Oryzias latipes: one gene and its partners. The protein of the gene in region 2 purifies or fractionates together with the protein of the main gene of each other region. This does not show direct contact. Links are inferred from orthologs where the notes say so. Each region holds a gene or a part of one and is shown on either strand. Other genes may lie near its edges. The genes, in order: pnn, epb41l3 and rnps1.

What was found.
Region 1: the proteins of epb41l3 (region 2) and pnn purify together in Homo sapiens (co-immunoprecipitation; 3 studies listed by BioGRID and IntAct, with this or other methods). This does not show direct contact. The link is inferred for Oryzias latipes from reciprocal best matches to the Homo sapiens genes EPB41L3 and PNN.
Region 3: the proteins of epb41l3 (region 2) and rnps1 purify together in Homo sapiens (co-immunoprecipitation; 3 studies listed by BioGRID and IntAct, with this or other methods). This does not show direct contact. The link is inferred for Oryzias latipes from reciprocal best matches to the Homo sapiens genes EPB41L3 and RNPS1.

What each region holds. Positions count from the first base shown.
Region 1 is NC_019880.2:19,632,778-19,640,587, reverse strand, and holds the end of pnn (pinin), read right to left. Parts: intron 7,421-7,810; coding exon 7,349-7,420; intron 6,504-7,348; coding exon 6,434-6,503; intron 5,228-6,433; coding exon 5,133-5,227; intron 3,793-5,132; coding exon 3,717-3,792; intron 3,648-3,716; coding exon 3,492-3,647; intron 2,112-3,491; coding exon 1,973-2,111; intron 1,845-1,972; coding exon 703-1,844; 3' UTR 171-702; downstream 1-170. UniProt on the Homo sapiens protein: Transcriptional activator binding to the E-box 1 core sequence of the E-cadherin promoter gene; the core-binding sequence is 5'CAGGTG-3'. Capable of reversing CTBP1-mediated transcription repression.
Region 2 is NC_019875.2:4,932,681-4,940,731, forward strand, and holds part of epb41l3 (band 4.1-like protein 3), read right to left. Parts: coding exon 7,995-8,051; intron 7,887-7,994; coding exon 7,844-7,886; coding exon of another isoform or gene 7,832-7,843; intron 7,547-7,831; coding exon 7,471-7,546; intron 7,297-7,470; coding exon 7,078-7,296; intron 6,817-7,077; coding exon 6,729-6,816; intron 3,429-6,728; coding exon 3,384-3,428; intron 2,851-3,383; coding exon 2,698-2,850; intron 1,351-2,697; coding exon 1,253-1,350; intron 850-1,252; coding exon 674-849; intron 561-673; coding exon 382-560; intron 36-381; coding exon 1-35. UniProt on the Homo sapiens protein: Tumor suppressor that inhibits cell proliferation and promotes apoptosis. Modulates the activity of protein arginine N-methyltransferases, including PRMT3 and PRMT5.
Region 3 is NC_019866.2:11,021,889-11,029,959, forward strand, and holds rnps1 (RNA-binding protein with serine-rich domain 1), read right to left. Parts: upstream 5,421-8,071; 5' UTR 5,329-5,420; coding exon 5,327-5,328; exon of another isoform or gene 5,260-5,326; coding exon of another isoform or gene 5,258-5,259; intron 4,746-5,257; coding exon 4,611-4,745; intron 4,506-4,610; coding exon 4,329-4,505; intron 4,239-4,328; coding exon 4,133-4,238; intron 3,879-4,132; coding exon 3,725-3,878; intron 3,633-3,724; coding exon 3,491-3,632; intron 3,373-3,490; coding exon 3,267-3,372; 3' UTR 2,983-3,266; downstream 1-2,982. Other genes in the region: arf-GAP with dual PH domain-containing protein 1, read right to left, coding at 998-1,088; uncharacterized protein LOC101174749, read left to right, coding at 7,989-8,071. UniProt on the Homo sapiens protein: Part of pre- and post-splicing multiprotein mRNP complexes. Auxiliary component of the splicing-dependent multiprotein exon junction complex (EJC) deposited at splice junction on mRNAs.

The DNA of each region.
Region 1 (7,810 bases), on a different chromosome or scaffold from region 2:
TTTTATCCTTTCACTGTTGTGACTTTCAAAATAAAGATTTGTGTAGAATGTTTTGGATGTTCATTAAAGTGTAAGCCTCTCAAGGAAACATTTGATTTCACAATAAAGTTTAGGGAAACTGCTTGATAAGCAAAACCTCTGAAAAAAAATTTAGCAGGAATGAAAACACATTTCCACTCACAGCTCAACTTTAATTTGAAGCAAATTACAAGTAAAAAAAATTCGTAATCAATTCAAAACAAACAAGTCACACTTGAAATAGATCAAAGTGTCAGAGTGGATTAACAATTTCGTAACCATTTTAACAACCTTTGATTGGTCACTCTTCCCACAACATTCACGTAAAACACATTTCCAAAGCCCCAAAAGACATCTCATTCCCAAATGTTGGGCTGCAATTCAAACATATTGGATGCAAAGATGCTATGACGTTTCTCTAAAATCTTTAGAAAAGGGCTCAGACACAAGCTGACGGATGCTTTGTCCAACCACATTACATGAATGTTCAAAAGCTGGAAAAGAAATTAAAAAAAAATAATAATTTGACATTTAGACCCAACAGGAAGAAGCCCAACCACGAGAAATCCTCCCATGGTTTTAAAAAAAATAAACAAGTTTTAAAAACAGAAGACTGATGACCACTGGACGTCTGTTTACCATTCACCGTTAATTTTTTTCTAAAAATCAGAACCTCGCATCACATCAGCGTCTCTTGTCCTTCCCATCTCTATCTTTATGTTCCCCTTCGCTCCGTGAAGACCTGCCTCTGCCTTCTTCGTTCCTCCTCTTCTTCTCCTTTGATTCTTTGGAGTCCTTTCCTCTACTACTCCTTCCTCCCTTGGTGCTCTTCCTCTCCTCCCTCTTCTTGTCTGTACCTTTCTCTGATGGCCGCCTCTTGTGGTTGCCACCATCTCTACCGCGGCTGTGACTGCTGTTAGAGGACGAAGATGATGAAGACGAGGAGCGGCTGGATCCAGAAGAAGAGGAGGAACTTCCACTTGAAGAGGAGTCTGACGAGGACCCGGAGGAGGACGAGGAGGAGCTTTTACTGCGGCGTCTACTTGACTTGGCCTTCTTCCTCCCCCTGTCACCATCACCATCATCTTTTTTAGGGCTGACGACAGGGGCCTCTTGGGAATTGGGCACCGGTTGCGGGGCCTCAGTTGATTTGAGCTCCTCTGCCCGATTCTCATTGGCAGAGTCCTGGACATCAGCTGTGGATGATGTCTGGGCTTCTTGGGCTGCATGTGCGTTCTCTGTCAGAGGGGGCTGCTCTGGTGGACCCTCTACAGCGAGGCTGGGTTGGGGCTGATCTGCTGCTTCTTGGCGGTTTTCCCTCGGTTTAGAAGCCTGGGTTTCTACAGGTTTCTCTTGTAGGTCTACAAACCCGTGTCTGCCATCTGTTTTGACTTCCTTCATCTCCTCTTCCTTCTCTGCTTCTATTTCCACCTCCATTTCCTCTGACTTTGGGCTTGCTTGCTTCTCCTCTTTCTTCCTCTCCTCCTCAGCTTCTTTTTTCTCACTTCCTTCCTCTCTAAACTCCATCCCTTCCTCCTCTTCTACTTTTTCTAATATTTCCTTGTTTCCCTCCCCATTATCCCCTTCTATCACAATTCTATCTCCTTCCCTCTGACCTTCCTCATCCTCATCTTCCTCCTCCTCCATCTCTGCGACACTCCTTTTACCTGTCAACTTGGCTGCCTGACCTGCTGGCTTACCCTCCGCCGGATGGTCCATCCTTGCGGCAGTGTTGGTGTCCTGGTCGCGGTTTATCTGGCGCCGGGGACGTGACTCCATCTTGTTGAGTTGCTCAGCAAAAGCTTCACGCCTTTCCTCAAACACAGCTGTGGAGAAAACGGTAAAGCCAAACAGGAAAAAGGTCACGTTATTTGCCTTCTTCAAATAAATAATCTCATTCTGTAAATTTAAAAAAAAAAAGCTTCTTTCTTTAAAAAAAAAAGACCAGACTGACCATTTAGTTTCTTGGTGGACTCTTCGAGGAGTTTCTGTGATGCGGAGCACATTTTTCCAGGAAGGTAGAAGATGTGAGGCTTGGTCTTTGTGCGAATGAATTTCAACAGGTTGTTGTTGTGGCTGGTCCACTCCTCTTGCTGGTATTTGGAGAAGATGGGATAGACATTTATAATCATCTGTGTTTTTTATATTTTACTAAAAACTAAGAACAAGCAAGTACCTGCTAGTGGAGTAACAAAAAAAAAAAAGTCTTTATAACCAGTATATAAAAAAATCTGTCACATAAACAACTACTGTACTTGTCAGAGTACAAGTCGCGTTTTTTAGCAGTTTGGCCTCAGTTGCAACTTAGTGTATTCAGACTAGGAAACAGTTTGTTCCAGACCCAGTCCGCATCATGTGGTCCGGATCGAGCACTCAACCTTGCGTTTGCTCTGTATTCAGACTGCCGTCAAGCGGCCTTTCCTGATTCCAACCAAAGCTAGTAAACAAAACCATGTGAATAAAATCTCTTCACTCACTGGTCAGGATTTAGGAAGGCGGAGCAAGTCAACTATACTGCAGTCCTTCATTCAAACTTTATATTTTGCTGAACAATTTTAAATGCCTGTTTCAACAGACAACACTTTATACTGCTGCTTTGATCTGGTGGAGGCATACTGCAATGCAGTAGAAGACGTCTAAGAAGCTACACTGATAAATGTTTGACACAGATTGTAGGGAAAACGATGAGAAGCAATGTGTATTATGTTAAAAAATTAACTTAAACCTGCATTCATCTGATCACATTTTAATGAATTGCAGTGTCTATGGTGTCAATGGCATCGTTTTGAGGAAAAGGATGTCGTCACATTAGCTCATGCCGTGTAACGAGACACAGAAAAGAGTGTAAAACACATTTTTAGCTGTGTTCAAATAAACCTAACAAGGAGTTGGATCCTTTTTTCCCTCTTTGATAATGCGACAATCGTTGCTCCACATTTGTCCGCGGCGCATCTGTTGCTACATTCTAAATGTGTTTACATGACGTGACCACAGGCTACGGTGGCCTTTTGGTCCAGTTGTTCCACTCCAAGGACAGATTGTATTTAGACTGAGGAATCTCACAGCAAACCGAAGCCCAGTCCGATTGGAAACAAACCGAGACCACCTTGAAAGGTGGGTAAGGGTGCGGTTCCTGGTACCAGTCCCGGGGTTCGCTTGGATGTAATCAGACTCAAAACTTGTTCAAGAGAAATTTCACAAGAATTGCTTCGACATTATCAAATAAAAATTATAAATCAATAGATATCAAATAAATAAAAAAAGACTAATGTTTGTGTTGATGCTTTTTATCTTCGTTATGGTTATTGTTGTCTTTAATTTTGCTCTTGTCTCAATGTTCTGATGCATTCATGCCGTTAGCCATAACTTTTATAGACTCTACAATACTGTATAACCAATTGTAAAAACTTTGAAAGATGGAAAAGCATCTCTTGTCTTTAAAACACATTTTACTTCTTATAAATTAGCCTTACCAGCTGAGCTAATTCCACTTTTTGTTCCAGAAGTCTCAGCTCTGTCTGCTTGGCTCTTCTCTCCTCAAACAGCTCTCTCCTTTCATTCTCTACTTTCTTCTTCTCAGCTTCAGCCTGAACTTCCAGTTTCTGCTCAATCTCAGAACGGCGTTTTTGCTGGAAGAAGCGGAACAGAATGAGCCTGGATTTTGTGTGTGTGAGATGCTTTACAAACCTGCAACTCACCTTTTCTGAAGATACGTTGGACTCCTGCTTAAATTTTTGCAGCGTACCCATCAGCAGACCAAACATGCGCCGATTTCTGAAACAAAATATGGGAGGAAATTCCAACTAGTTTAAAACCTTTGTGAAGCAATATCATAATTTTGTATTTTGTGAAATTCATATCCAAGCTTTTCTATCAGTAGCCGTGGTTACATGTGGAAAATGTTTTGATCAAATCACAGATCAGATTTCAACCCTGTACATGGTCCCAGAAAACCTTTTTCCGATTATAACATCGTATACATGGGGCACACTTTCTGTCGGAACAGATCATTTGCACTTCTCTCTAAAATACCGGAAGAGGAAAGGAGTCCCGCTGTTAACAAGCCGAGCTGCCACATACATATATGGATATGCTCGGTAATATAAGAGATGATCTTCTAAACGTGCTTTTATTATTATTATAGTTATTATGAAGCACCTGTTCGCTCATCCTTTCATTTTTAATACGTGTGGTCGGTGCCTTTTTTGTGGCGGAAGAGCTGGAAGAAGGGTTAGGAGAAGGCTAACACGCGCCAACAACATTAGCCTTGGATGAACATAAAATCCAGGGAAATGCTGCAATCTGCATCTTGGCTGCACGTAAATATGTGGGAATAACATCAATCAGCCTTTATTTTGTCGGGACACGACTGGAAAAACAAATCCACGTGATTGTTTGAACAGTTTCTAAGGACTGGGCGACATTTCTACTTTGAAATGGTCGCACGCCGCTCCAAAGCCGCTGTGAGCTGGCGGCCCGAGCTCTGCTCAGAGACACAGTATTACCGGGAGACACAGTTCTGAGTTTAGCAGCTCGTTTACCTACAGCTGCGGGACGGATCGCAGTCCGTAGTGTCCCACACATAAAGCGCACACGTAACAAAGCATCCTCCTTTCCCCTCAAACACAAAGCTATAAGTCCGGCTGCTCTGCTCAGAGACACGGTTCACTTGGTCCACCAGCAGCCAAGCCCGGACGGCGCAGGGTCCAGGGGCACGAAGCGCTCCTCGAGATGGAGGGAAGTCAGAAGCGAGGAGCCCGCGGGCAAGGGCGGAGAGCAGAGGCGTCCGTGCGTGTATCGGGCATCCGCAGAGCAGCCGGTCGGTCGGTCCTGTTTGCGTTTCAAAGCAGTCTTTGGAGGGAAACACCTTTTATGTACTATGTAAAACCAGAGCAATACTGACCAACGATCTGAATGAACCTTTTACATTCACAACGATTGGATCAACAGTCGGCATAACCCACCGATCTCGATCGGAAATAAATTTTGATCCGAACGAGTCTGATCAGGGCAGAGTATTCCGAACACATTTTTCTTCTGATCAGGCGTTCTATCCGATTACTTTTGTCCATGTAAACGCAGCTACTGTCTGAAACAGATTCATGTCAGCCTACCTCTGTTTGCCCTTCTCATCCATGGTTTGATCTTGAATAAGATCTCGGCGTGTTCTCTCTTTGGAGGTAGCTACAACAGAGGACTGCAACGCTGGCTGAAGAAAACAAGCAAATCCTGTTTTAGTCATGTTTTAGTATTCGTTACCCAAAAGTCCAAGAGTTCATTTTTGAAAACCGGTTTTGGAATCAAAACTGGTTATGATTTTATTTTCCTCGTGTAATTAACCCCATTACACCTATTGATGCGAATATGCATCAAACCACCTTGGCTCCAATAACATGATAAACAAACACGATAAAAATAAAATATGTTGGATTCTTTACAAAATATAAGCGGGACGTCACCCTTTCCTCAGTCTAAAAACGCTAACCTCTTGTTGCTCAAGGCAAGAAGGTAACCTCACTCATGCTTCAGAGAACCAGGGTTCTCAAAATTTTTTCAATATTCATTCGGTATCTAACTAAAGGATATATTGTCAGACAGGCTTACTTGAAGACTAAGAAGCACCCAGATATTTCACACGCAAAAGCCAAACCTAATATTGCATGAGAGTCTGTGTGGTCACATCCTATTCATAGGATCCGGTGAAAGAATGGGGTAATACACAACTGGCATCAACCTTGCATGTCACCCACCCAAATTCCCCTAAACAGGGCTCAAGAAGAGGCCGTTCCACGTGTGGAATGAGTCAGTATACTAGCCAGGGGTTCCAATCCCGTCACAAACAAAGATAATAGCCTCCATATCCAACATGACATAGTTGCTTCGTGGGAGGATTTCCCTTGTGCAGAGGATTTTTTTCACGGCCCACTAGTTGGCGCTCACAGACCAAGATTGGGCCCCATGGTCAAGAATCACTGCTCTAGCTGGTCACCTCAGCTGACACCCGTGTGAAGTGTAGTGAGCCGTGTGCAGTATTCACAAGGGGGACCAGAGAAGTGAATGCATCCTGGGCATGTAGCAGCAAACACAAAACAAAAGCAGAGTGGGTGCCTGCTCCAGAAATCTTGTTCCCACACGCTCACGCTCTCGACAGCAGCCTGACTGTGTCCATGGTGAGGGCAGGGTTTGGGCTCTGCTTGCCCTTTTTGGACCGATTGATTAACTCGCCCTCAAGAGCTCTCAGAGAGTATGGTTCTGGGAGTGAGAAGAGACCCACTCTTATTTATCCATCCTTCTAGAGTGGACGCCACTTTCCGTCTGCCAGCCAGGACTGGCGTAATGTGATAAAGCTTCTGAAGACAGCGAACAGAGGGGTGTGGCCCATAGTGAGATACTGAATGAACCCAGATCATTTTACCTTTTTGACATCATCGTCATCGTCGCTGTCGTGGCGCATGTCTCTCCTGGCCCTCTGGTCTCCTGCCAGCCTAAACTCGCACAGCCATGACAACAAAGAGGTAATCAGTGCAAACAGCTTTATTAGATTCTATAAAAAAGAAAGAAAAAGAAAAAAACAAAAGAAAACCCTGAAATACAGCGATTTCCCGATCCAATCACCTGACTAGAAATCGGCCCGGTCACATGGTTGATTACTCAATTGAAAAATTGGAAAATCGAATGTCTCCTAGAAGTATCAAATATTTAATTTATTTTTATTTTGATCAGCACTTTACATTTCAAGCTCACTATTACAGACAAATACTCTACTAGGAGTCTGCATATTATGAACAGATCGCAACAATTTATTGCGGTGCTAGTTTGAGTAAGAGGTGCACAAAGCTAGAAAGATGTACGGAGTCAGTCGTCTGGGATCAATGACTTCAACATTTTAAACACCTGTGGCCAGTCCAAGTGTTTAGGACACCTGATTCTAATCACTTGGATGGGTGAGCGAATACTCTTGGTAGTATAGTGTTTGAGCTACTCGCGAATACTCATATTTATGCCAAGAACAGCAATTTTTTAAAGAAAATCATTAATGTGAAATTTTAATGGGCATATGAATCACGGCTGTTCAAAAATGTTCAATAGTTCTCAAGTCACTAAAACTTAACTCAAATTTTCTCTGTGTAAGTATAAGTATCTGTTTAAGTATTAAATGATAAAAGTCCAATAAAAGAAAAAATAGGGGGGGGGGGGGGTCAGCAGATATTGGAAATCAATTGACTGTGGGCCAGATAGGGCACAAGAAAACATGACCAGGACGTCCCTACTGAAATAGCTAGAAATCCTTATTTCTAGCAGGAAAAAACAAAACAAAAAAACAAGTCACCTCAGCAAGGCTCCTTCGATGTCCCTTTGCTTGGCAGGGGGGCCGCCAGTTCCCATGTCCGAGAGACTGCGCCTGAAAGAACATATTGGCAATCAAAAAATAACTTCTCCCTAGGGGGGGGGGGACCTTATAACACCCAGATCTATGTAAGCCTTTGTTTTTCTCATCCGAGCTGGCATCTGGCCCAAAACTGTACGGTTTTGTACGACCGGATAGTAATTATCTGCAGAGCTAGCAGTAATCGGCTAAAATGCTTTCCTTTTATACGCACATTCATCGTTACAAAAGGCTGGAGGTTGTTCGTTTTCCTTAGCAAAACGCAGACACACTGCCGAGGCTGGCTCTGGGTTGACGACATTCAATGGGTGGCACCCACACGGAGCAAAAGGCCACGCCTTAGAGATTGAGTCGTCTTACTTCCGGTTTGGAAAAAAAAAGCTCAGAAAAATAACTAATATTTAA
Region 2 (8,051 bases):
CGGAGCGGGTCGGCTGTGTACGCATGAAGGGGGCGCTGATGGAAGGAAAGGTCAACCGAAGCGCGACGTGTGCGTCGGTGAGGAGAAGCAAAATGGGGAGGAGATGAATGCACACCAGCACGCACGTGTGTGTGTGTGTTGTGGGGTCAAAGGAAGGACAAGGGAAAAAAAGCAATTAGTAAAGCGTACACAAGATGAGAAGCAGTCAGACCTAACCTACAGCAGCGGCATGTAAAGGATTTTTTAAAGAAAAGAAAATTAAGAAGGTTTCCAAAAGCAAAACTGCCCCTTTATCCCACTGTTTATTTGACAGCCCCCCCTCCCAAAGTGAGAACAGCGCTGTGGGCGCCTGAATGCTGCAGAGGTGAGACGGCCGCTTACCTTTGGTTCCTGTGATGTGGCACCTGCCTCATGCGTGTCAGTGGAGTTCTTCTGAGCATCCTCCTGCTCCGTCTTCTCTTCCCTCTCTGTGGTTACCGTGGTGATAATGGCGGCGGCTTTGGTATCTCCGCCGGCAGTGCTGTCCTTCATCAGAGTGTCGTGGTTCTCTGCAATGGTAGCTGGAGCCCAGAAGGATGCAGGTATGTTAGAAATGTGAAGAGCGGTTCACGTGTGCACATGCTTCTTATGATAAGGGGGGGAGGGGGGTTAAAAGGTGCTTGGGCCGCCTCACCTCCATCTAAGCTGCGGGACATGTTGTAGCGCTTGCTGGAGGTGCGTTCAAAGAACGGCGCCGGTCGTATGATCTGGGAGCTGGCCCTGCGGGTCTGAGCCTGCGTCCTGCCGCTGTAACGGAACTTGGAGCCCAGGCTCAGGAACTTTTTCTGAGGGGCCTCTGGAGACACGAGCCTGTAACCGGTTTCAAATGTGCCCATTAATCAAACTGGAAATAACAGCAGAATTAAAACAAGCAGTGAAAAACATTGAAACTCTTCGTTAGAACCATCTCCAGGGAGCCTTCGGTGTAAACTTTCCACGTTCTGCTTAAAGCAGCAAGTCTGCATGAAGTTCTAATTAAGAGCCTAAACTCTGCCTTTCCTTCCCTACAGAGAAATCACACACAGCGACTGAATAAACTGCATGGTTGCACTTCTGTCATCACCCAAAGCCAGAAAACAGCAGAGAGCCGCGTGCACTCCCACCATCCGTCTTTCATTAACAAGGCATCCCATCCTTTCCTGTCGACCGACTTTAACCTGATGTTTTTCAATAAAGCTGCACCTGCTGCAGTTCCAAAGGGTCACACTCCTACCTGAAGAAGGTGTGGTGCTCCACACACACCTTCCATAGCCGTTTGGCAGCACGGTGGTTTGGGAGCTTGAAGCCAATTGTGCTTTCAAACTGCTCGAACTGCAAGATAGGAAAATAATGAGATCAGTTCCTGTCAAATGATATGCAGAACAGCCTGAAAACCCCATGATGTTTGTCAGATAAAGAACATTTATCAACTGCTTTTCACAAAACTAATCCAGACTTTACTCATTTTTTTAACAATTACAAGGAAAAAAGTCTGAACTAAATAAACATCATTAGACTAGTTTAAACCATTAGACTAGTTTAAATCATTAGACTAATTTAAACCATTAGACTAGTTTAAACCATTAGACTAGTTTAAACCATTAGACTAGTTTAAACCATTAGTCTAGTTTAAATCATCAGACTGGTGTAAACCATCAGACTAGTTTAAATCATTAGACTAGTTTAAACCATTAGACTAGTTTAAACCATTAGACTAGTTTAAATCATTAGACTAGTTTAAACCATGAGACTAGTTTAAACCATTAGATTAGTTTAAACCATTATACTAGTTTAAACCATTAGACTAGTTTAAACCATTAGATTAGTTTAAACCATTATACTAGTTTAAATCATGAGACTAGTTTAAACCATTAGACTAGTTTAAACCACTAGACTAGTTTAAACCATTAGACTAGTTTAAACCATTAGATTGGTTTGAATCATTAGACTAGTTTAAACCATGAGACTAGTTTAAACCATTACACTAGTTTGAACCATTAGACTAGTTTAAACCATTAGACTAGTTTAAACCATTAGACTAGTTTAAATCATTAGACTAGTTTAAACCATTACACTAGTTTAAATCATTAGACTAATTTAAATCATGAGACTAGTTTAAATCATTACACTAGTTTAAACCATTAGACTAGTTTAAACCATTAGATTAGTTTAAATCATTAGACTAGTTTAAACCATTAGACTAGTTTAAATCATTAGACTAGTTTAAATCATTAGACTAGTTTAAACCATTAGAATAGTTTAAATCATTAGACTAGTTTAAATCATGAGACTAGTTTAAACCATGAGACTAGTTTAAACCATTAGATTAGTTTAAACCATTAGACTAGTTTAAACCATTAGACTAGTTTAAACCATTAAACAAGTTTAAATCATTACACCAGTCTAAACCATTAAACTGATTTCAATTATAAGACTAGTTTAAACTATTAAACTAATTAAAATTATAAGACTAGTTTAAACCATTAAACTAATTTAAATTATTACACTAGTCTAAACCATTAAACTAATTTAAATTATTACACTAGTCTAAACCATTAAACTGATTTAAACTATTAGACTAGTTTAAACCGTTAAACTAATTTAAATCATTAGACTAGTTTAAATTATTAGACAAGTTTAAAGATACTCATTCAAACTCCTCCCATAGTTTATCTTTACCTCTCCAGGTCGTATTTTGATATAAAAGTTATTTCTCTTGTAGGAGATCTTCAGGATCTTAGGCCAGGCAAATCTGTTGATCCTCAGCTTGTCTCTGTAGATGAGGAGGCCGCTGGCACAAACTCCCAGCATGATCTCCACTCCCTCAGAGTCCTGCAAACACCACACCAGGAGAGGAGAGAAGGAAACGTCCATAACTAGACCATCTCACACAGCGTTGCTCAAAACCTTCATGTAAACATGTTTCTGTCCACACACCCTCAAATTTTTCAACTCTACAGGGAGAACGGGAAGTCCTCAAGCATTGGAGCCCAGCAGGATAAAGAGGGAATTTAAGAAAAGGTTGGTGATAATAACAGGTTTGGGCAGGCAGGCAGTGCAATCAGGCAGGTGGTCTTCTAATCACCTCTATGCACTCTGTGGTGACGCTGAACATGAATTCAAGGTGCACCTTTTAGCAAAAGCAAGTCTGACAAAACGAGGGATGTAGAAGGAAACCTTCTGGCACAACTAAGAATGATATGAGCAGTGAAACCAATGAGGAAGCGCTCATCCCAAGAACCAAGACCCGGAGTCAGGTCGAGGAACGGGATGCTGGAAAGGATACCTTTGTAACCATGCAGAAGTGGAAAAACACTCTGAACACTCACTCAGGCAGTGGAAGCACACGGAAAACAGCCTCTTACCTCCTCCTCATCCAGAGCCAAGCATTCAGAGAGACTCCCTACCAACTTTGCATTTAATGAGAGAGGAGAGAAGACAAAAGAAGGAGGCTCTTCTGATGTGCATTTAGGCTTCTTAGATATAAAAAATGATGACTCAGAGGAGCTACACCGAGCGCTGATGGTGACGCCAGTTCTGACTGATCAAAGCCTCTTCCTCATCTCTGTCATCTCACCAATCCTGATCTACATCTGAGGACTAACTCCTCCCTGCATCCACGTATTTACACCCGTTTTGCCTTTCAAAGCACTCGTTGGCATCACAGAGACCGACCATTATGACTTCGCTCCGGGATGACAGCGCTCCGTCTGTCCTTCCTGTCCGGGTTTTAGGACGATGCATTTGAAGCCGGTGGAACACAAAGAGCTCTGAAAAGCATGCTGGGCTCCAGAGCTGCACCACCCCAACCAGAGGTGGAGGTGACGGTGTGAGTCAGCGCAGCAGCATCACAACGGCAGCCATGATGTTTGTGGGACGGCGGTGACGAGCGTGGCGTCTGAATGCACCGGTGAAATGTGTTCATGTCATAAGTCACTCATGTAACATGCAGAGTAAATAAGGCATCATGGGAACCTCCACCATTAGGCTCATTTGTAAATCTTTTCACTGCTGCATTCAAGGGCGGAGTGGGGAATCGGCAGAGTCAGGAGGATTCCCGGTGGGCCGCTTCATTTATGGGCCAGTCGGTGTTAAGGGAAAATAGTCACAGTAGAATATGAATGAATCTCTGCAAAATTGACCCGTCCCTTTAGGGAATGGCATCGCCAATTTGGCAGTTAACAGCATGCACAAACATCCTTTTGCATTGCTCACAGTTGGTTGAATCCACCAGAGCGCGTCTTACCAAAAAAAAAGTCGAGTTGGAGCAGAGAAGCGGGCCTGCCGGCAGATTAACGCGCGTAAAAACGGGTAGGAAGCAAGGTTATAATAGTTTCGGATTTTTTATTAGTTTTAGTTTTTATTTCGTTTCGAATTTTTCTTTTTAAATTTATTTAGTTTTAATTAGTTTTTAGAGGCAGCTTTACTAGTTTTTATTAGTTTTTATTTTTTGAAATTGCTTCGTTTTAGTTTAGTTTTTATTAGTTTTAGTGTTAGTTTTAGTTTTTTCTTTTTTTTTTTTTGTAAATTAGGATATTTATCAGGTGCATGATTCAAAATCACCAGAATAAGTATTGTATAATAAAAACTCAATCAAAGATACATTTTGAAACACTTATTATTCAGAGGACACAAGGACAACCATCCTTAAATTAAAATAAAACAGCCGATAACAGCATTACGTTACCTGCTCTAGCTTCTTTTTCGGGGGAGGGCGGGCGACAGGCTAGCTTGTCTAGGTACTGTTGATTTGCGTTTTTGTGTGCGCTTTTTAAATGTACTTTTAGATTCGTAGGGTTTTTCCCTTTGAGGAGCGTTCCACAAATTTTGTCTCCTGCTTCGACTACAAGGCACTTACTTTAGTTTTCGACGCTGTTATATTCAAAAAAGTCCCAAATAGGACTCTCCCCCTTTCTCCCAACTTTTAATGCAGCCATCACGCTCATGTAAATGTCTATGACAACGCTAGCCGGCAGTGTCTGACAGACATCATGTGACCTCACAGACAACGTGACAACGTGATGCCGTAGGGGTCAAATACACAGTAAAACTAGCAGCGTGAAGTAAATAGATTTTATTTCAACCCAAAAGACTTATGTATTAACAAAGACGAAAACTAAGTCTTTTTTGGGGTTATTATTATTTAGTTTCAGTTCGTTTTATTCACACAACAAACAGTTTTAGTTAGTTTTCGTTTTATTAAAAACTCTCGTTTTTATTTTTATTTCAGTTAACGAAAATGTTTTTTCAGTTCTAGTTTTAGTTTTTTCGTTCGTTTTCGTTAACTATAATAACCTTGGTAGGAAGAGACTAGGCGGGGCGGAAAAGGCCAGATTAAAGAAAAGAAAGGCGTTGACTGAGGATGCTGCCAGATGTGCAAGCCCACAGGCATGTTTTCAAGAAGAGGGAAACGGTAAAGGAGATGTAACTCTAAGCCTAATTGATCATTTAACACAAAGCTAGCCTAATATTCTGATTTAAACTGGCATTGACTCTCAGACACAAGTGTGTGCACGCTGAGGTTCCGGCCCAGCCTCAGCTAGACCCCGCCTTCAGTGCCCCCAATGTAAATTGAGTTTGAGACCCCGGGTTTATATAATCACACAGTGAAATATTTCTGTTCAACCACACCTTTTTTATTATAATGATTTATTGTTATTTTTCATTACTGTAATACAATATTTATATTATGTGCTAAATTCTTGCCTAATTTTTCACGTAGCTAAACAAAGGTCGGTCTTGGCTGTAAAGTTGTTCCACGCACTCATGATGCACCACAAATGATTCTCTGCACAGCGGTGATTGCTTAGAAACAACAGAAACTTTGGTTGTTCCTTGACTCACTGCCACTTTTCTAAACCACATCAAAAGAAAAAAAAACACGTCTTCTTTCAGGAGGAGAGCCCGACGAGAAGCCAAAAGAAAACTGTCCTTTACCAGACAACCCATAGCTGTCACTTTTAGTACGTACAGTTTTTAAATCGTGGCTTTTCACTTAGAGCTGAATTATTTTTTTATTTAATGTAAGACATGAACTTCAGGAATATTTACACTCTTTCCAGGAAGTGTCCCCTCCTACTAGAGAAATGATGCTGCAACACAAACTCCAACAGTTCAGGAAACAAGCAAACTAAAGCCACTAAATGATGAGGTTTGGATGAAAAAAAACACTGTTAGCTGTTCTGCCAACACCGATCCATGAGAACGGAGACATGATCCTCAAGCGATACCAATCACACGTCACATTTCAGCAACAGCTGCACAGCGAGGACGGAGCGGAAACTCATGGAAAACATCTCAGCCAATGCAATAAAGCAGATCAACTAATGCTAAACATGAACAACATTAAGCTGTCCCTCCTCATAGTGGTCCAACAAGAGCATCCCAACATTCTTCAGATGTAGAGAAATTCATGAGAAAACGTCCCATTCTGTGTCTAATGAAATGTCAAACTGAGTAAAGGCCAGAGGATTTTCACAACCTGCAGAAGTATTCTAAATAGATTTCATTTATTTGATTTTTACCACCTTTGATGGAACTGGAAACCCCATTTCTGCTGCAGGAAATGTTGCAGAAAAAAACCAAAACATTTCTGAACAGGTGGGAAAACTGTAGCTTGCATTATTACATTTTGAAGTGATATTAGTTTTCTTTAGGCAGGAAAAGTGACTTGCAGTAATAACTTGCGTTGACTGAAGAGATTTGCTCACCTTAGCGTGATGGAGGTCCACACCATACATGGACAGCTTCTTTGCATTTTCCAGGAAGTGCATCTCTGCTTCAGCTGGCGTCATCCCCCTGATCAGACACATCCGACATAAGCAAGCCACACAAGAACTCAGGGCTCCAACTCCAGGGGACTGTGATGTTCAAAGACGCAGGACTAAGTTTAGCCAAACAGTGGTGTCAATCATAGGCACACGGTTATGGAACACACTGCCACAGGACATTAGAAACAGTGAAAACTTTCAAAACATTTCCTAAACAATGGCTGAAAACAAAACAGTCACGCAGAAACAGTGGTTGAAAAACAATGACGGAGAGAGTGAAGACACCAACTTGTAGGTCTTGTGGAGTTCCATGACCTTCTCTTCCAGTTCTTTGGTTTGGTTGGGTGCCAGGCGCAGTTCGCTGACGTAGTCACTGGCCATTTCTTCAGGGTCATAGTCCCCGAGCTCGGACTGCACCGTGTAGGAGCCCAGCACTGTGTGGGTGGCAAAGGAGCAGGGCAGGCGGCCAGACACCACATCGTCCCTCAGCTGCAAGCACAAGTAGTACCTGTGGGTTGCAGGTACGAAGGCATTAATACTTTATTTGGTTTTGTCAAAAAAGTCTGAAAAATATTCTGTGGTCGCATAAATCTTCCATTTCCTTTAAAATCACTTTGTAATAGAAAGAGATTTCTAAAGATGTAGACTGAAAAAAAACGAAAGAACTTCAACTGGGACTGACCGTGTGATGTCCTCTGAGAGCTGGGAGGGGTCTGGGGGGTAAAACTTGACGTTGAAAGCAAAGTTCCAGGGACCATCTAAGACATAAACACACTCGTGTTAAAATCAGGAAGATCCATCAAAGCTCTGGGCGGCAGTGTATCAGAGGGTTGGCGGTTCGATCCCCGCTCCCCCCGTTGTTGTGTCCTTGGGCAAGACACTTTACCCTCCCGCCTTTATCAGTCTGCCCCATCAGTAGTTTACCATCACCAAGTATGAACGAGGGGTGAATGAATAAAGGACATATTGTAAACGCTTTGAGCGTCTGAAAAGGCGCAGATTAATCCAATTCATTATTATTAAGACATGATTGGTGGTTTTACTTGATTCCTTACTGCGGATCTGCTTCTTCAGCTCCTTGGAGGGATCCAACCAGTTCTGCACAGATAAGCACACATGAGAGTCACCCGTTTGAGAGCCAACTACAAAGTAAACAGGTTTTTAAAACCAGAAAGAAATGAACATGAGGGGAGTTTGGCGACCAACCTTCTGGTTCTCTATATCTCTGTATGTGATGCCAAAGTAATCCTTCTCCAGTAAGTT
Region 3 (8,071 bases), on a different chromosome or scaffold from region 2:
AAAGGTTCACAGCACTGTCTAGTGGGTCTAGATGACCCCAACTCCCAATTTTAAAGTGCCTAGGATAGCACAAGGGTTAAAAAATATTTGGGGACTAGGAACCCAAGGTAACAGTAGTGGCTCCTTTTTTTCTAGTCAAGTTGAGGGGGTCAATATTTTGGGTCATATCTTATATTTAAAATGTTCTTTAACAAAATAGCATGTTTCAACAGCACACAGGATAGATCGATTCAGGGGGAATAAAGTTTTTAGACTTCACCACCTTAAACTATACCTTTAAAATCAATGGAATAAAAAATTCTTTATGAACCCAGACTCACTATGGAACTTTATTCTTTATTTTAAACTTGGATCTATAGTTTAATCTTTTTTATATGTAATTTATTTGGTATTTACTGTTATTACTATTGAGGCAGTTTGTCAATGCTACTTCTTGTATATCTTCCTGGCATGTATATTTGAACATCGACAATAAAAAAACAGCACACAGGAAAAAAAAATACAGGAAGCAGGTCACACCTTACTCCAGAGCAGAAGTGTTGCACATAACGTGTAAATAAGCCTACGTGCAATTAATCTTTAAAAAAAGAATAGATGTGGGTCATTTTAAACGGAACACAAGGGTGGGGTCAGGCTGTTTTAAAAGCAGTAAATGAGAAGGAAGACTTGATGCATCTGCACAAAATAGGGCAAAAAAGAAATCCAGAACAAGCACTTTACTTCTCTGTCAAAGCGCACCTCAATGAAAGGAGATCAGTCAGTTGATAGCCATCAATCCAAATCTAGCAAGTTTTTGTCTGATGGTCAAGATCAAACTTGTGTTTTTATATTATTATTTTTAACTTTATGCCATTTCTAACAAACATTTCCTACTTTTTGTCAGAAAACATTCATAAATTAACTTCTATTGTTTTCTCCTAAAGTGAAACAAAACTTACCAGGCGTACTGTCAAACTAACATGAAGAGGATGTAAATAAAAGCAGGACCTGCACCTACCTGCTGCTTTGCAGTCTGCACAGTTTCCATTCCCCGGTTTTTCCAACAGCTGCTTGATTCGCCGTCTGAGACTTTCTGGTCCCAAAGCCATGATTTAGATTTCGATTAGACTCCAAAGGTTCTTATGAACAAGAAGACGGAGATCACAGAGCGCGCGTTGAAACAGCTACCACAGCACTGTCATTGTAACTGTGGGGAGGCTAACCACTGATGCATGCTCTGCTGTTGATGCTCCAAAGAAATACACATGCAATCCTCTGCCCCTACATGGAATGAGACACCTAGTGGTTGTTATGGTAAATAAAGGGCACAACTTCCCAACACATTTTTATCTTTGTTTTATAAGTTTAGTTAATATTTTGGAATACTTGACCCTTGTGTGGTGTTCATATTGTTGTTACTCAGCCAGTGTTCGTGGGTCTGGTGGACCCGTTGCATGTTGTGGTTTTTAATGCCTCACAATCAAACACTTTGATGTTAAAATACTCGACAGATGTTTACCTCATCCAATTACAATCAGTTTATTTGGTTAATATTTGCCCTTTACCTTTGTTAGATCACATTCATAACTCATTATTTAAAACGTGATAAAGAAAATCAATTAAAATCAAGATATGATTGGAAACAAATTTTCAAGTGAAGCAATGGTTTTCAAAACTACTAACTTTTATTTATTTGAACAAAGAAACTGAAACCATTCAGGTGCACAACACAAGCTGAACACAGAGTAAACCTATTGTCAAGACAACACATCAGCCCCATGTAAGGGCTTCTAGCCACTAGCCTTTACAACACATGGTCCTGGCTGCTGACAGCCTGGTCCTGGCTGATGGCTTTGTTTTGGAACTGGCTGATGCTCAATCTAAATGGTATGGCTTATACTTATATAGCGCCTTTCTTCCTACAAGGACAAAGCGCTTTACAGTCACGGACCCATTCACCCAGTCACACACACATTCACTCACACATTCAGACACTGGTGGCGGCTCCGCCAAACACAGGCGCCCGCCAACCACCAGAGGCAAGGTGGGGTTCAGTGTCTTGCCCAAGGACACTTTGACTCATGGGCCTGCAAGGCGGGAATTGAACCTGCAATCTTACGATCAGGGGTTGGCCACCCTACCGCTGCACCACGGCCGCCCCAATCTAATCATCTTCTCCAGAGTCACTGTCAGACTCTGAATTTTCAGAAATGTGATCCTCCAATTCTGAAACCTCCTCTTCTGAATCGTCTCCCTCTACATCATCATCGAAAACGTCTCTCTCTTCTAAAATCAATTCCAGGGCCCTCTGCGCAGAAAGTCTTTTGGCCATTTTGATCAGTTGTGATGAGAAACCACACTGGCAAAGCTATATTTATAGTGTCCCGCCTCCAATTTGTAGCAGATCTTTATCTGCTATGTGAGATATTAAAGATTCCCGCAAGAAAGTCAAATGATCAAATGTGCGGGAGAACGAGAGCAAACAGAGTTGATGCTTGAATTATTCTAACAATGTTGCAACCTTGTGCGGGAACCGCAGGTGCAGAAACAGAACTCACATTTACAGTGAATCTTTCTCTCTCTGCCACTCTCTCTCTCTCTTTCTCACTGGTCACACACACACACACACACCCACACACACACACACACAGCAGGCCCAGACAGGTGGAGGACAGAGTGTAGGTACATAAAAACATCAATTTCCACACTTCTATTAGCCCTGGGTCCAGTGGACCCGAACATCTTATATGTAATAGAAATGTGTTGGGGGGGGTATACGGTGTGTGGTCATTAAAAATGTATTCTGATATCTGTTCTTCACAGAAAATGAGCCAAGGCCAGTGAGTCTGAGTTTGAAAAATTAATTAATTGTATCATTTTTCTTTTGATAAAAAATGAAAACGGGTCCCACAGACCCGAACACCACATAAGGGTTAAAAGTATTTTTGTGACTAGAAATCAGAATAATAGTTGAGCCGGATCACAAGATGACAGAAATCAGAATCAAGATGTTTCATAGGTTTTATTCTCAAAATTCTTCAAAAAAAAAAATCAACTCGAATGAAGGAATCACAAAATCTTGTTAGATGTCATCAGACATAACATAAAAACTACAGTCAATTTTCAGCACAAAATTTAAAAAAAAAGAAAGAATTTTTCTCGTCTCCTTGTCACTACGAACTCAGCTAAATTTACTGCAATTTATATAGATCCTTTGTGTCCGAGGAGCCAGGAAATGCGAAAACTGCAGCTGATCTGCGGCGAGTATTTAGAGTAAAGACAACTTTCTATCTGGAGGAATTTGAGCTTGAACGAGAGCGATGGCGCCTGCGGCCAGGAGACCTAGAGCGAGAGCGGCGACGTGGTGGCGAGCGCCTCCTTGGGGAGCGTGATCTAAACAGGCACAAAAAAAGGACGAGCATCAGTAGGTGGGAGAAGATTCCGTTTCAATGGACCGCATAATAAAACGTTAAAAATATTAAAAAGGTACAAGTGAAAGCTTTTAAATAACCTTCTTCTCATGCGTGGTGGGCTGCGGCGCCACATCGGTGGAGGTGGCGGCATTCTTCGAGGAGGAGACAGTCTACGTGGAGGACCACGGATCAGCTGAGTCAGCACAGCAGCTGCAGTGATTTCCTGCCCGTCAATCTGACCTAAAAAAGTCATCAGGAAGGTTTGTTTTTACCTGACCAAGTTTATGTTCGTCAATATGATTTCTCCAGCCCCTTAAATGATTCTTTCCTACCTCCATCCATGTGTTTAAGAGCTTTCTGGGCTTCTTCAGGGGTCTCAAACTCCACGTAAGCAAAGCCTTTGGTCAGGTTTGGGAAGAGCCTTTCCACCGGCATGTCAACCGCTTTAATTTTTCCATATGTAGAGAAAATCTCCTGGATGTGTTCCTAGTAAATTGAAACATACATTTAGTTTTTAACCATTATTTTGTGAAGGATTGTTCCATTAAAAAAAACTAAAAACAAAATATTTAGCTTTTTATTTAATTCTTGCAGTTTTAGGCGCACATCTTGACAGACAATAAACATAAAGAATATTTCATTCTAACTAGTTATCATGAAAAATAAGATCTGCTTTTATTGAATTAGAATTTTTTTTTTAAAAATCAAAGATTTAGCTTTTGTTTGTTTTTTTAGCTTGCCTTGGTTACATTCCTGGTCAGCCTTCCCAAGTGAACCTTTGTGGGTTTAGGGGTGGGACTTCTTTTTCTTCGTTCTCTTTCTTCTCCTCTCTTCTGTGTTTTAGAACTGCAGGATAAAAAATTACAGAATAAATATTGTCAATATTTTTGAGATACAATATAAATATTTGTCTCATGTCTGAGAAAATGGACTGACGGAGATCGTGAACGGCGTCGGTTGTCATGGCGTCTGCGGCTGGGACTTGGAGAGGCCGAAGAGCTGGAGGAGGAGGAAGACCGAGAGCTAGAGGATCCGGAGCGACTGGAAGAGGAGCTGGAACCACTTGAAGAACCAGAGCTAGAACCAGAGCTGCTGCTGGAGGATGAGCTAGATCTAGATGTGGAAGGTCAAAAACAAACAATGATTTAGTTGGGAATGAACATCCAGGACAGGATGCTATATTATATTTTTAAATATAAGAAAGAAAAAATAGCTCACCTGCTGCTGCTGCCTGATGAAGCACTGCGGCGTTTCTTTGCTTTGTCGCGACCCCTTTCCTTGTCTCCTTCCTTTATTTTTTCTTTTTCCCTGTTTTTCTTTTCATCTTCCTTTCGCTTTATCGGTAATGGTGCCCTGATGTGGCGAGAAAGCACATAAATTAGAGACCTAGAAACCTAAAAAAGTGATTATGTCTAGGTTTATGTAAAGGATTGTGATTTATGTTTTTATTGGATAGAGAGAAACAGCCTTAAAATGTGCTAGATACAAATTTTTTGCACCAAAAAGGTCATTAATTAAATTTAACTCGTTAATTACTTGAATATATATAACTTTTTCATTTCATTTTTATCTAATTAATTCAAAATTGTTTCGGTGTTTTTTTTTTTTTTACCGACATTTAACATGTGCACAATAAATTGTAATTATTTTAAGCTTAATTCCAAATGTTTAGGACCGTAAATTACATAATATTTTCCCTTACACTAATATTTTCATTCAGAAAAAAAAAAACCTTCTATTTGGACTCGTTCCCTCGTTGTTTTTTTTGAGCACAACAAGGGACTAAACTACACCCGCGTCGCGGTTAAACGACTTCTTCCTTTATAAGGAACTTTCGCGCAAAATAAAAAAGCCTCCGAACTTACATGTTTAAATCAACAAGTTCCGCTATTAAAGCTATTTAGATCGAAAATACGTAAAAAGGTTAATCTTACATTCCAACGGCCAAAAATGGCTTCACTTGCGGTCTGGTGTGAGGTCGCGAAGTGATGATGAAAGCGGATGTTACGTAATTTTTTATTTTAACTTTAAACAAACGCACACACAAAAGCTACAACAGAAAAAAAGAAAAAAGAAGAAAATAGAAATAAATAAATAAATAAAAATAATATAATTGTAGTTTACAATACAAGGGATTTTCATACAACGCGTGATCTTCAATGAAAATAGACATTTTATTGCATTTTTGCTTTTTATTAATATCAGAGATTTTTAATATAAACTGATCTCAATATGAAATGTATTGAATAATGGTTTTGTTTTTGAAAATCTGCTCTCATCAATGAAAAATTTCCCAGATATTAATAAAGTATTGAATGTCAAATCAAATATATTATCAACAGAAACTACTCCAAATAATATGATCTGCTTTTGTAATTGAATATAAATAGGAAAGGGAAACTTTGAGGAGCAACAAGAAAAGAAATTCTCCCAAAAACTGTTAACATATATACATTCAAAAAAACAGATGATCAAGTGTTTCTATATTTATGTCACAGAAAGAACAGTTATTTTCTGGAAAACCAAAACGTATATGTATAGTAGTTCCTTGTATGGATAGACTGCATACATTATTTTAAAATGGATTTCTTTGTATTTTGGAAAAATTTAATATTTAGTAAATTCAGATCTTAAAACGATATATATATATATATATATATATATATATATATATATATCGTTGTTGTTTTTTTTTTCTTGCCAACTTTTTTTGTAAACATACACGACACAAGTGTGGATGAATGAAAAAGTTATAATACAAATCCATGCAGACCTTACATATAGTCACAGCACTGGAGCATCGCATTTTGAGTTATTGTTGCAATTTTTTAAATATGTACAGTCTAATCAAAAGATTTTTAATAAATATTACAATTCCAAAGTAGGTGACTGAGTTTTTGGGTTTTCTTTCACAGAATGTTAACAAACTTTAATATATTTTACAATGTTAAATATCTTGACTAGTATTATTCTGTGCAGAAATTGAGAGGAGATATCGCTCATCTTGTCATTAATCAACTATTTCTGATGCAATGAAAGTTCTTTCCATAGCAAGTCAGAGACAAAAGTATTTCACTAAAAGACAACAAAATGTTCTGAAATAACATCTCGTTGAAACAAGGCACATATGACTTTGTTATTCTCCTGAGTAAATTTGAAACAAGATTTTCCAACAGGGGTGTAACTGATTTTCTCTTTTCATCTTCTTTATTTTATGGTGTTGACATTTAGACTTCGAGTCCATAAAAATATGTATTACTATATGTTAGATTAAACTCCTCAGTTCTAAACAAATGTCCTTTTCTGTCAAGGAACTGACCCATATTATTGTTGAAATTATTATGACAAAAAATATATATTTGTTTTAGTAAATGATGTATTTCTTAGTCCAAATAAATAAATTATAAGTGAGGGGTGTTTATAAACAAGTGCCCAGGAAAGAAGTGTCTGTCAAAAGCAGAATTTTATAGTCATTTTGACAATGTTTTCTTTGTCACAGACAACTTGTTTGTTTGTTTGTTTGTTTGTTTGTTTGTTTGTTTGTTTGTTGACACCACAGTTACAGAATATAAAGCCACTCAAAATCCCCTTTGCAAAGGTTTGAACTTTCATGCAGACTCTTGTGTGATGTATTTCTTTTCCCCCCTGCACATTCAATTTGTTGGTGTCCTTAACCATCCAAACCTGCAACATCAGCTTAATTATATTTGTTGAAGTAAAACTGAACCATAATTATAAGTTAATTCTCATTTCTTACCAGTGTGATTCAGTTCGTCGCTAGATTATGACGAAAGCGGAAGTTACGTTTGTAAACGGGTGCCACTCACAACTTCATTTGTTTTTTTAAGGTGTTATGGACGTTAGCAGCTTGCGTATTCGGCTGCTGCATAGCTATGCAAAGGGGACCTAGTTACTGTGGTGCGTGAATTACGCTGCTCGAATTCGAAGCACGGACATTGCTTCCTTCGTTTCTTCAGGTGAGCGTCCCACTTTACAACAGCGGAGGTTGTTAGCTCTAGTATCTAAGCTAATGTTATAACTCAACCGTTAGAAACAGGTGTGAAAACATTGCAGTTACCTATCATTTCAAGAACAACTGTGATATTAACTGTTTATATCCATATATCGTCTATTTAATGATGCAATCCTTATTTATGCGTTATGGCCACGTTTTTTACGTGTAACTTAACTTAAGCAATGAGACACTTAGGTTTTAAAGTAAACTTTATTGATACTAAATCAAAACAAACAGCCTGAATAAACAACGATTCAATTTTGATATTTTATGATTATCGTTAACAGAGTAAACACCTCACGTTAGTTTATCAAATATTTCAAGATAGAGTTAAGTAGTGAAATGTATTATTGTAAAAACAAGGGAATAAATTAATCAAGAATAAACTCAGTAATAAAAATTAACGAAATAAAACAAAAAGGAAAGCAGGTTTTACAATTTTCAAAGTAAATGTATGATATTACAAGGTTAGTACATATGAAATGGACAGAATTTTGAGAAAACTGTTTAGAAAAGGTTGAAAACTACTGAACATTTATGACAGTGTTTTTAATCCTCTAGAGATCATTCCGTTGCAGACCATGGGTCGGCTGGATGATGCAGCAAAATACAAAGTCGTGGAGCTTCGGAAGGCTGGACTTAGTTTCCGTAAGATCAAAGCTGT